Canis lupus familiaris: one gene and its partner. The protein of the gene in region 1 interacts with the protein of each later gene in a pairwise test. Links are inferred from orthologs where the notes say so. Each region holds a gene or a part of one and is shown on either strand. Other genes may lie near its edges.

What was found. The genes of interacting proteins can lie anywhere in the genome.
Region 2: the proteins of GORAB (region 1) and SCYL1 interact in a two-hybrid assay, tested with the Homo sapiens proteins (2 studies listed by BioGRID and IntAct). The link is inferred for Canis lupus familiaris from reciprocal best matches to the Homo sapiens genes GORAB and SCYL1.

The regions. Positions count from the first base shown.
Region 1 is NC_049228.1:28,153,526-28,157,157, forward strand, and holds part of GORAB (RAB6-interacting golgin), read right to left. Parts: intron 1,592-3,632; coding exon 1,490-1,591; intron 1-1,489.
Region 2 is NC_049239.1:52,179,347-52,183,595, forward strand, and holds the start of SCYL1 (N-terminal kinase-like protein), read right to left. Parts: upstream 2,911-4,249; 5' UTR 2,845-2,910; coding exon 2,734-2,844; intron 2,387-2,733; coding exon 2,246-2,386; intron 2,072-2,245; coding exon 1,949-2,071; intron 1,870-1,948; coding exon 1,643-1,869; intron 1,237-1,642; coding exon 1,146-1,236; intron 1,070-1,145; coding exon 914-1,069; intron 1-913. UniProt on the Homo sapiens protein: Regulates COPI-mediated retrograde protein traffic at the interface between the Golgi apparatus and the endoplasmic reticulum. Involved in the maintenance of the Golgi apparatus morphology.

The sequences.
Region 1 (3,632 bases):
CTGGAGAAAAAAAAAATTGCCATTTGTGAATACGTATATCCTTGACAGATGAAATTCTGAATTACTCATACCTACCTGTCTGTCTCTCTAGCCCTGTCCCTTGCCCTCCCCTGACACATACACAAGCTTCAATAACCAATAGTTTTTCCAGGCTTTTCTGGAGATCTGAAAAGAAAATGCCAAGAATGCTTGCTTGCATTTCATTCTCCTTATTCTCAATCAGTGCTTCAGCGACTGAGCTTGGTTTCCTAAGGCCATAGCACATGGTAAACTACAAACTAAAGAGGCAGAAAGAGTGGGTGAGGGTTGGCAAGTGGCTCAAATATCAATGCTACTGTTGGAAGCCAGCACAATGTAGTAAAGGAAAAGCAACTGCTAACAAACTGACATTGGAAGGTGACAGAAAAATTGAAGCGCACATAGTATGGCAGAGTGCTCATGATGGTGACCTTGAGTCACTGATAAAAGGTTACATCATGTATCAGCGGGGGCAGGTAAATCATTCAGGAAAAATGTCCACAGAAAATACAATCAAGATTTCTGGGAGTGAGGGATCCCTGGGTGGCGCAGCGGTTTGGCGCCTGCCTTTGGCCCAGGGCACGATCCTGGAGACCCGGGATCAAATCCCACGTCGGGCTCCCAGTGCATGGAGCCTGCTTCTCCCTCTGCCTATGTCTCTGCCTCTCTCTCTCTCTCTCTCTGTATGACTATCATAAATAAATAAAAATTAAAAAAAAAAAAAAAAGATTTCTGGGAGTGGAAGTCACTTATGTAGAATAAACAATCTTACTCTTCTAACCTGTCACACAGTCAAGCCCTCCCTTGTCAAAATTAAAACCTGTGTTTGTTGCTAGTGCCCTTATACTGGTCATTGCTTCCTTATTAGAATGTGTAGATGAGGGGATCCCTGGGTGGCTCAGCAATTTAGTGCCTGCTTTCGGCCCAGGGCATGATCCTGGAGTCCCAGGATCCAGTCCCACATCGGGCCCCCTGCGTGGAGCCTGCTTCTCCCTCTGCCTGAGTCTCTGCCTCTCTCTCATTCTGTGTCTCTCATGAATAAATAAATAAAATCTTAAAAAAAAAAATAGAATGTGTAGATGATTAAAACTGAAAACACTGATGCTGATTCTGAAGTTTTAATTGCACCTGTATTCACAAATTCGGTACAATCTATGCTTACAAAGTCCTCCTTAATAAATCAACACTGGAATTTTAGTATCATTTGTAAAACATAATTTGTTTAGTTAGCCTTAGAAATAATGCCGTAGAGGGGTGCCTGGCTGGCTGAGTCAGTAGAGTAGGTGACTCTTGATCTTAGGGTTGAGTTCAAGCCCTACACTGGGCATGGAACCTACTTTACAAAAAAAATTTTAAAAAGGAATGTTGTAGAGAAAATGTCAATTTATCAAAAAACAAGGGCAAACACATATAAAACATGACAGAACTGATTGCAGGTTACAAACAACCACTCTTAATTCGGGTGCCTCACCTTTCTGCAATAGCTTTAGCCAAAAGAGCTTTCTTACGTTTATTTTTCTCTTCCATTAGCCGTTGCTCTTGTTGGAGGACTTCCCAACGAGATTTTTCTTGCCTAGGGCAAAAAAAAAAGGAAAAATGAGTTTCTGAAGCCCTATCCTACACCTTACCAGTCTCAGTTCCCTATGTATAAAATGTAATCAACCAGATTATGTATATTTTCCTTCAAAAACCCTCTTAAAAGGAACCCATCTGCAGCTCATTATTTTGTTCTAATAGGAACAAAGATTATGATTTAAAATAAAGAAGGCTTACATAAACTGGCCCTTTGAAATCCATTATATGTGTATAATCTAGGAAGCCACAAACTGGAAGCCAGAGTACTATGGCATTTCTTAGGAGTACAAAGAAAGTTGTATAAGTTAATTATGTATTATATGCAAAATGGAGATCAAAATAAATTGGTATGTAGCTAATGTCACATTCTATCTTTTAGAGTTTTCTATAATGAAAGTCTCTATCACCTTACACCCTTAGGACAACAAACAATGCTTATTTTATTTTTTCAATTCTCTCAGTTCTCAAACATTATGAAACAGAGTGGAACACTATGAACTAAGATTTGAATGCTGGGCTACTGAGAAACTTCAAAGATCTGAAAACAGTCTTCCGTCTGTCCAATTCTGGAAGAGGTATATTGAAAATTTTCCATAAAATCAACAACTTGATGTCAACTCAACATAATGACAAAGCTATTTATTCCTATTATTGTCAATTCTTATGGCCATTGTCTCAAAATCCTCTAGTCCCAGACTCAGTAACCACTTCTAAATTTATCGTTTTCTTTTCATTCCTACAGCCTCCACTCTGGTGCTAGCACTGGTTCACTTTCATTTTAACTATTGCAGGCATCTTCTCACCAGATGCCAGAGTTCCAGCTCAGTGAGCACCCTCTTCCAAATGCGCCACAACACTGACACCTGCATTTTCTCTAAATGTTGTTTTGATCAGGGCATCTCTCCCTCAGAGGCCTTGGTGATAACCAACTACACTGAACTCAATAGATAGGAACCCTCAACTTCCATATCCTTCTTCGCTTCCCTCATTCTCCACTATTCTCTGGCCTCGCTTTTGGATCTTCCAGAGAAGTGAGATGCCATCTCTGAGCACTCTTCAGGATAGAGCTTTCCCTTTCCCTTTCTTATAGACTCAGAATTCCTCTTTGTCAACAATAGTTCCTGAGATTGCATGTCTTCTATGAAAATTCTCCCGAGTACCTAAAAAAATTTATTTTCCTAACAACATTCAATCTAAATTGTCCAGCTTAATTTAAATCCACCCTCCCCAACTTGTGTCAGGCTGGTGCTGGCAAACTACACTTAAAAACATTTAAGTATATGCACTCATTCAATGCTGATCTCATAATTCATATGGCTTTATTTCTCTTGTAAAAATGATTTCTTGGTTGTGAACTCAGAGCACAGAATCTGGATCAGAGAAATCATACGATACTTCGAAAGACTCAGAAAATGGAAAACAGAAACAAATGGCATCCTGATCAATCAGGAGGAAACAAATAAGAATGGATATTAAAACCAAGCTATAGAATTCACAAGTGATAGAATGGCAATTTCCAAAAGAATGTTTCTAAACTAAATTCTGGAGGTAGTTTCTGACATAAGCACATTAAATAAAGAATAAAAAGAAATCTAATGATGCAGGTGAATTGTTTTATTACTCCTCTCAATTTCAACTTTCCTTTGAGCATCCCTTCATATTGTATCTCTTCACAAGTACTTTTTTCTGGGCCAATGTATATGGAGTCTGAAAAGTGAAGACTGGTTTGATTTGGGGATGAGGTGAGGACTGTGCATAAGAACTGTTTCTAGTGAGGGTAAAGGGCAGAGACTTTGGATCCGGAAAGACTTGTAAGTGAACCCCAACTCTTCTACTTATTGGCTATGTATTTGATTTGGGAATAAAGTATCTTTTCTGAGTCCAAGATTTCATCTATAAAGTGAAAATCATGAACAGGTACTGGAAACTGCTGTGAAAACTAAGTGACATAACCCGTATAACATGCCAACACCAACTGGCTTACCATACATTTATGGGGTAGCTATTCTTTCAAAGACTATTCACTACACTTCTAGGTT
Region 2 (4,249 bases), on another chromosome or scaffold:
TTCCCCCCCGCTCCATCATGGTCTGTGCAGGGGGCTGTCACTCTTTTCCCGCTCCAGACTCTCTGTCACCTTTCTGTGTGCCCCACACATGGCCAGGTCAGAACGGGTATCTGGGGCTGAGCCTTCCTCCTTCATTCCCTACAACCACCTACCGGCCAGCAGAGACTACTATTATCCCCATTATACAGACCGGGAAACTGAAGTCTAAGGAGATTAAGCCAAAGATTCCTTCCTCACATCTTTCCATGTGCTATTCCCCCTGCCTGGAATATTCATTCCCAGTTATCATCCCTATGGCTCCCACCTTCCCACTCTTCAGGTCTCAGCTCAAATGTCAGCCCTGAGAGAGCCCTTCCCTGGGCGCCCTGACCCACTATTTTCCTTCCTGGTACTTACCCCTGTCCTGGGGAGTTCAAATTCCCTTATTTATGTATTTTCTGTCCCTCTCCACCAGCTAGAATCCCCGAGAGGGGGTACCTGGCCCATTTACTCCCTGCTTGATCCTTGAGGGCAGGGATCTGGGTCTGACTCCATCCCCACCCCACCACCCCCTGCCACAGCACATCGCAGCACTGGGCACAGCATATATCAGAGCCAGGGCCACTATGCACAAGTGGTTACTGGAGTGCCAGGGGAGTCCCTAAGTACCTACTATGTGCCAAACACTATGCTGTGCACTTCAGACTCACTGAATCTTCACCGAGCTCCTCTGAAGTAGTAGGTACGATTATTAGTAACAAGTGTCAGACAAGTCACACAGTAAGAGTCAGAACCAGGGTCTAGACCCAGAAAGCCTGGCTCCATAATCCATGGTTGCCTCCCAGGGTCTAGTCATGGGGGAGCCCACAAAGTGGGTAGGGAGGATGGAGTGAAGAACCCAGGACCAAAGCCCAGGATCGGCTGGAGGGCTCACCTGAATCTCTTCCAAAAAGAGGTTGGTCTCCACAAAGCGGTTGTTCATGAAGCCGCCGGGTGCCCGGCAGTTCTGCAGGAAGCGGGCTGGGTTGGGACGCACCTTGGGGTTGGCTCCAACTAGTTCACAGTAATGGGGCACCAGCGATTTGGGGATCTGTGGGAGAAGGGTCAGTGGCAGGGCAGGGCTGGTTGGCTGGCAGAAAGGGGCTGGGGTTGGGTCAGACACTCACCTTCCCAGGGTTGCGCAGGGCAGCCGCCCGAGGTAGGGGCCCATTGAAGACTTCCCAGATGAGGCAGCCCAAGCGCCACATGTCAGCTGACCTGAGGCAGGGATCAGAGCTGCTCCAGGCCCTGCCACCTGCTAGTACAGGCCTCCAACCTGCCTCAGGCACCAGACACTAACTATATGGCAAACCCTGAACTACGTCCCTCAGCTGATCCTCTCATCGGCCCTGAGAAGCAGGGTTCATTAGTCCCATTTGACAGATAAAGAAAGTGAAGCTCAGAGAAGGAAGGACATCCACCCCACATCACACATCTTTCAAACTCAGAACCACCAAAACACACCCAAAGCCTGTGTTTATCCTGCCCTACCTCTTGGAGGACCCTGGTTCCCTCCCCAGCTGGGCAGCAGGGGACAGGGGAGTGCCAACTAGTTGAGGGGTCCTGAGACTACAGGAGCTTCCAGAATAGGGTGGGCTGGGGCATGCTGCCCCCAGTCACCCACCATTTCTCTCTAACTGCTCTGCCACTGCCATCAGCCAACTCCGGGGGGTCATACTGCTCAAGTTCGGGGACCCCCTTCCGGGGGGGTCCCCCACCATTGCCCTGGGCCGAATACATGTAGTCCAGACCCCCCAGCTTCCACTCGCCGGCACGGTCCACGAACACGGCAGCCATGCAGATGTTGTTGTGGATGAGGCTGCAGTCATTTACCAGGAAGCTGAGGGCTTTCTGGGGGCAGAAGGAGCCATCACACTCCAGCAACTGAAGTCCCCCACCCTGCTCTCATCACCACTGCCCCCCACCTCACCACAATCTGGTGTAGGCCCCAGGAGAGCTCCAGCTCCTTCAAGCCACCAGCCTCCGCTCGCTCCTTGAGGTACATTCCCAGTGGGGTCACTGCCTCTGTCACTACATGGAGGCATTTGTCCGTCTGAAAAAGGAGACATGGTGTAAGAGGAAGGGAAGATGAGGGGCATGGGGAGACAGGTGGAGAAGGGGATCAAATTTGCGGGTGCTGAGGCAGGAGGGTGGAAGCGGGAAGGCATGACAGGGAGACTGGAAGAAAGCGAGGGGGCAAAGACGGGGCAGCGCCCTGGGCGGGTACCTCCAGCCCATCGATGTAGGCCAGAATGTTGGGGTGCCGGAGAGTTTTGAGGCGCTTGAAGGCAGCCTTGGCCACCTGGGTCTGCTCATCGGCCCCGGGCTTCACGTCATACACGAAGATGGACACCGGGCTGCCTGTGGCCTGAGGGAGGAGGGCAGAGGAACCTGAGGGATGTGGGCCGGGCCCAGGCGACCACGCCAGCTCCGAGATGGTGCCCAGAGCTGCCAAGCGCGGGGGGAAAGGGCCGCCGCCAGTCTCTCCCCAGGTCAGCCCTCGGGGCCTGAGTCGCGCCACGTGACCCCGGTTCCGTCCGCCTGCCGTCCCTCGGTCCTCCGCCCGCCACGTCGTCACTGACCGTCCGCCTCCCGCGGCCCGTTGCCCCGGAGGCTCCGCAGCCACGTCAGGCGGGGCGCGACGCGGCGGGGCCGGCGGCGCTGACTAGGCGAGGCCGAGGTCGGCCACGGCCTGCAGAGCGGGGCGGTGCTCACCTTCTTGCGGCCGCGGTGCAGGACCCAGGGCCCCGGCGGGCCGCCCTCTGGGGGGTCCGGGCTGAGCTCGAACGGGAAGTCCCGGACCGGGTCCCGGGCAAAGAACCACATTGTCTCCGCCGCCGCCGCAGGCTGGGGCGCCTGTGCTCCGGGTCCTCAGGCCGCCGAGCCGGGGGCGGGGCGAGGGCGGGGCGGGGGCGGGGCCGGGCGGGGGCGGGGCGGGCGGCGCGTTGACCAACTGCAGGCGGCGCGGCGGGGCCTTGCCGGCCAGGTGCCGCCGGTTACCAGGTGCGTAGCTCTAGCGGGCCACCCCAAATCTCTGAGCCTCTATGTCCTTGTATCTAAAATATAGGTGTGGTAGAGTCCACCTCCCCTCACTACCATGGGGATGAGAACTCGAGAAGGGACAGGGGATGGAGAAACCGAGGCGTGGAGGGAGCAGAGATACAGAGACAGATGGAAGAGGAAGTCATAGGCGGACGCGAAGGGGTGAAGTGAGAAGTGGGGTAGACAGAGAACTGGGGAGGACGACTGTCCCCAAGCCAGATGTTCTCTCCCACCAGCCAGTGGGCGGCTCCGGGATCCAGTGAGGCATCGGTATTGGTGGAATGACTGATCAGGGAAGAAGCCCAAAGAGACAGAGGCCCTGAGAAGCAGGGCCAAGGGATGGCAGAGTGAAGCAAAGGCCTAGGGGAGGTCCAGAAACCCTGTGGCAGGGAGGGAAGAAGCAGTAACTCTGGAAAAGAGAAAAGTGGAGGGGGAACGGCCCAGAAAGTCCAGAAGATGCCAGAGGGCCAGGAGGGGCCCCTGCTCTCCTGGGCGCAGCAGACCTGGCTGTCTGGTTTACAAGGCCAGCATCTTTTCCAGGCCCCACACTGCCTGTGCAGGCAGGCATATCCTGTGGCAAAATGGTGTTAGCAGCTCAAATGCCTGGACACTGGGCAGGCAAAGACCCCCCCCTTCAGGGGGGGATCTCAGGGGACCCAGGGTTGGGGATGGTCCTGCAGCCACACCCTACAGGGCATGGGTGAGATCCTAGAACTGATTATGAAATGTTAGTTGGGAGGCCCTCCAGAACAGATTCAAGAGCAAGGATGTCAAAGTCAGGAGAGATGGGTTCAAATTCCTTGCCTAGTGGCTCAGTCGGTTAAGCGTCTGCCCCTGGCTCAGGTCATGATCCCAGAGTCCTGGGATTGAGTGCCACATTGGGATCCCTGCTCAGCAGGGAGTCTGCTTCTCCCTCTGCTTCTCACCCCACTCGTGCTTTCTCTCTCACTCTCAAATAAATAAATAAGTAAAATCTTAAACAAACTCCTGCTCAGCTCCTCTCACTGGCTCCTCTCACCTTATCCTCTGAAAGCCTTGGCTCCCTCGTCTAATAAATCGGAATAAACAGTCCCTGCAAGTCACGTGACAGAACAGCCACTTGGCACAGACTCCTGGTCTCCCTTTCCTTATCCAAGCCCCTGTGACGGATGGTCACACAGAGGGAGGGTTGGACAGGGTGCTGGCTGCT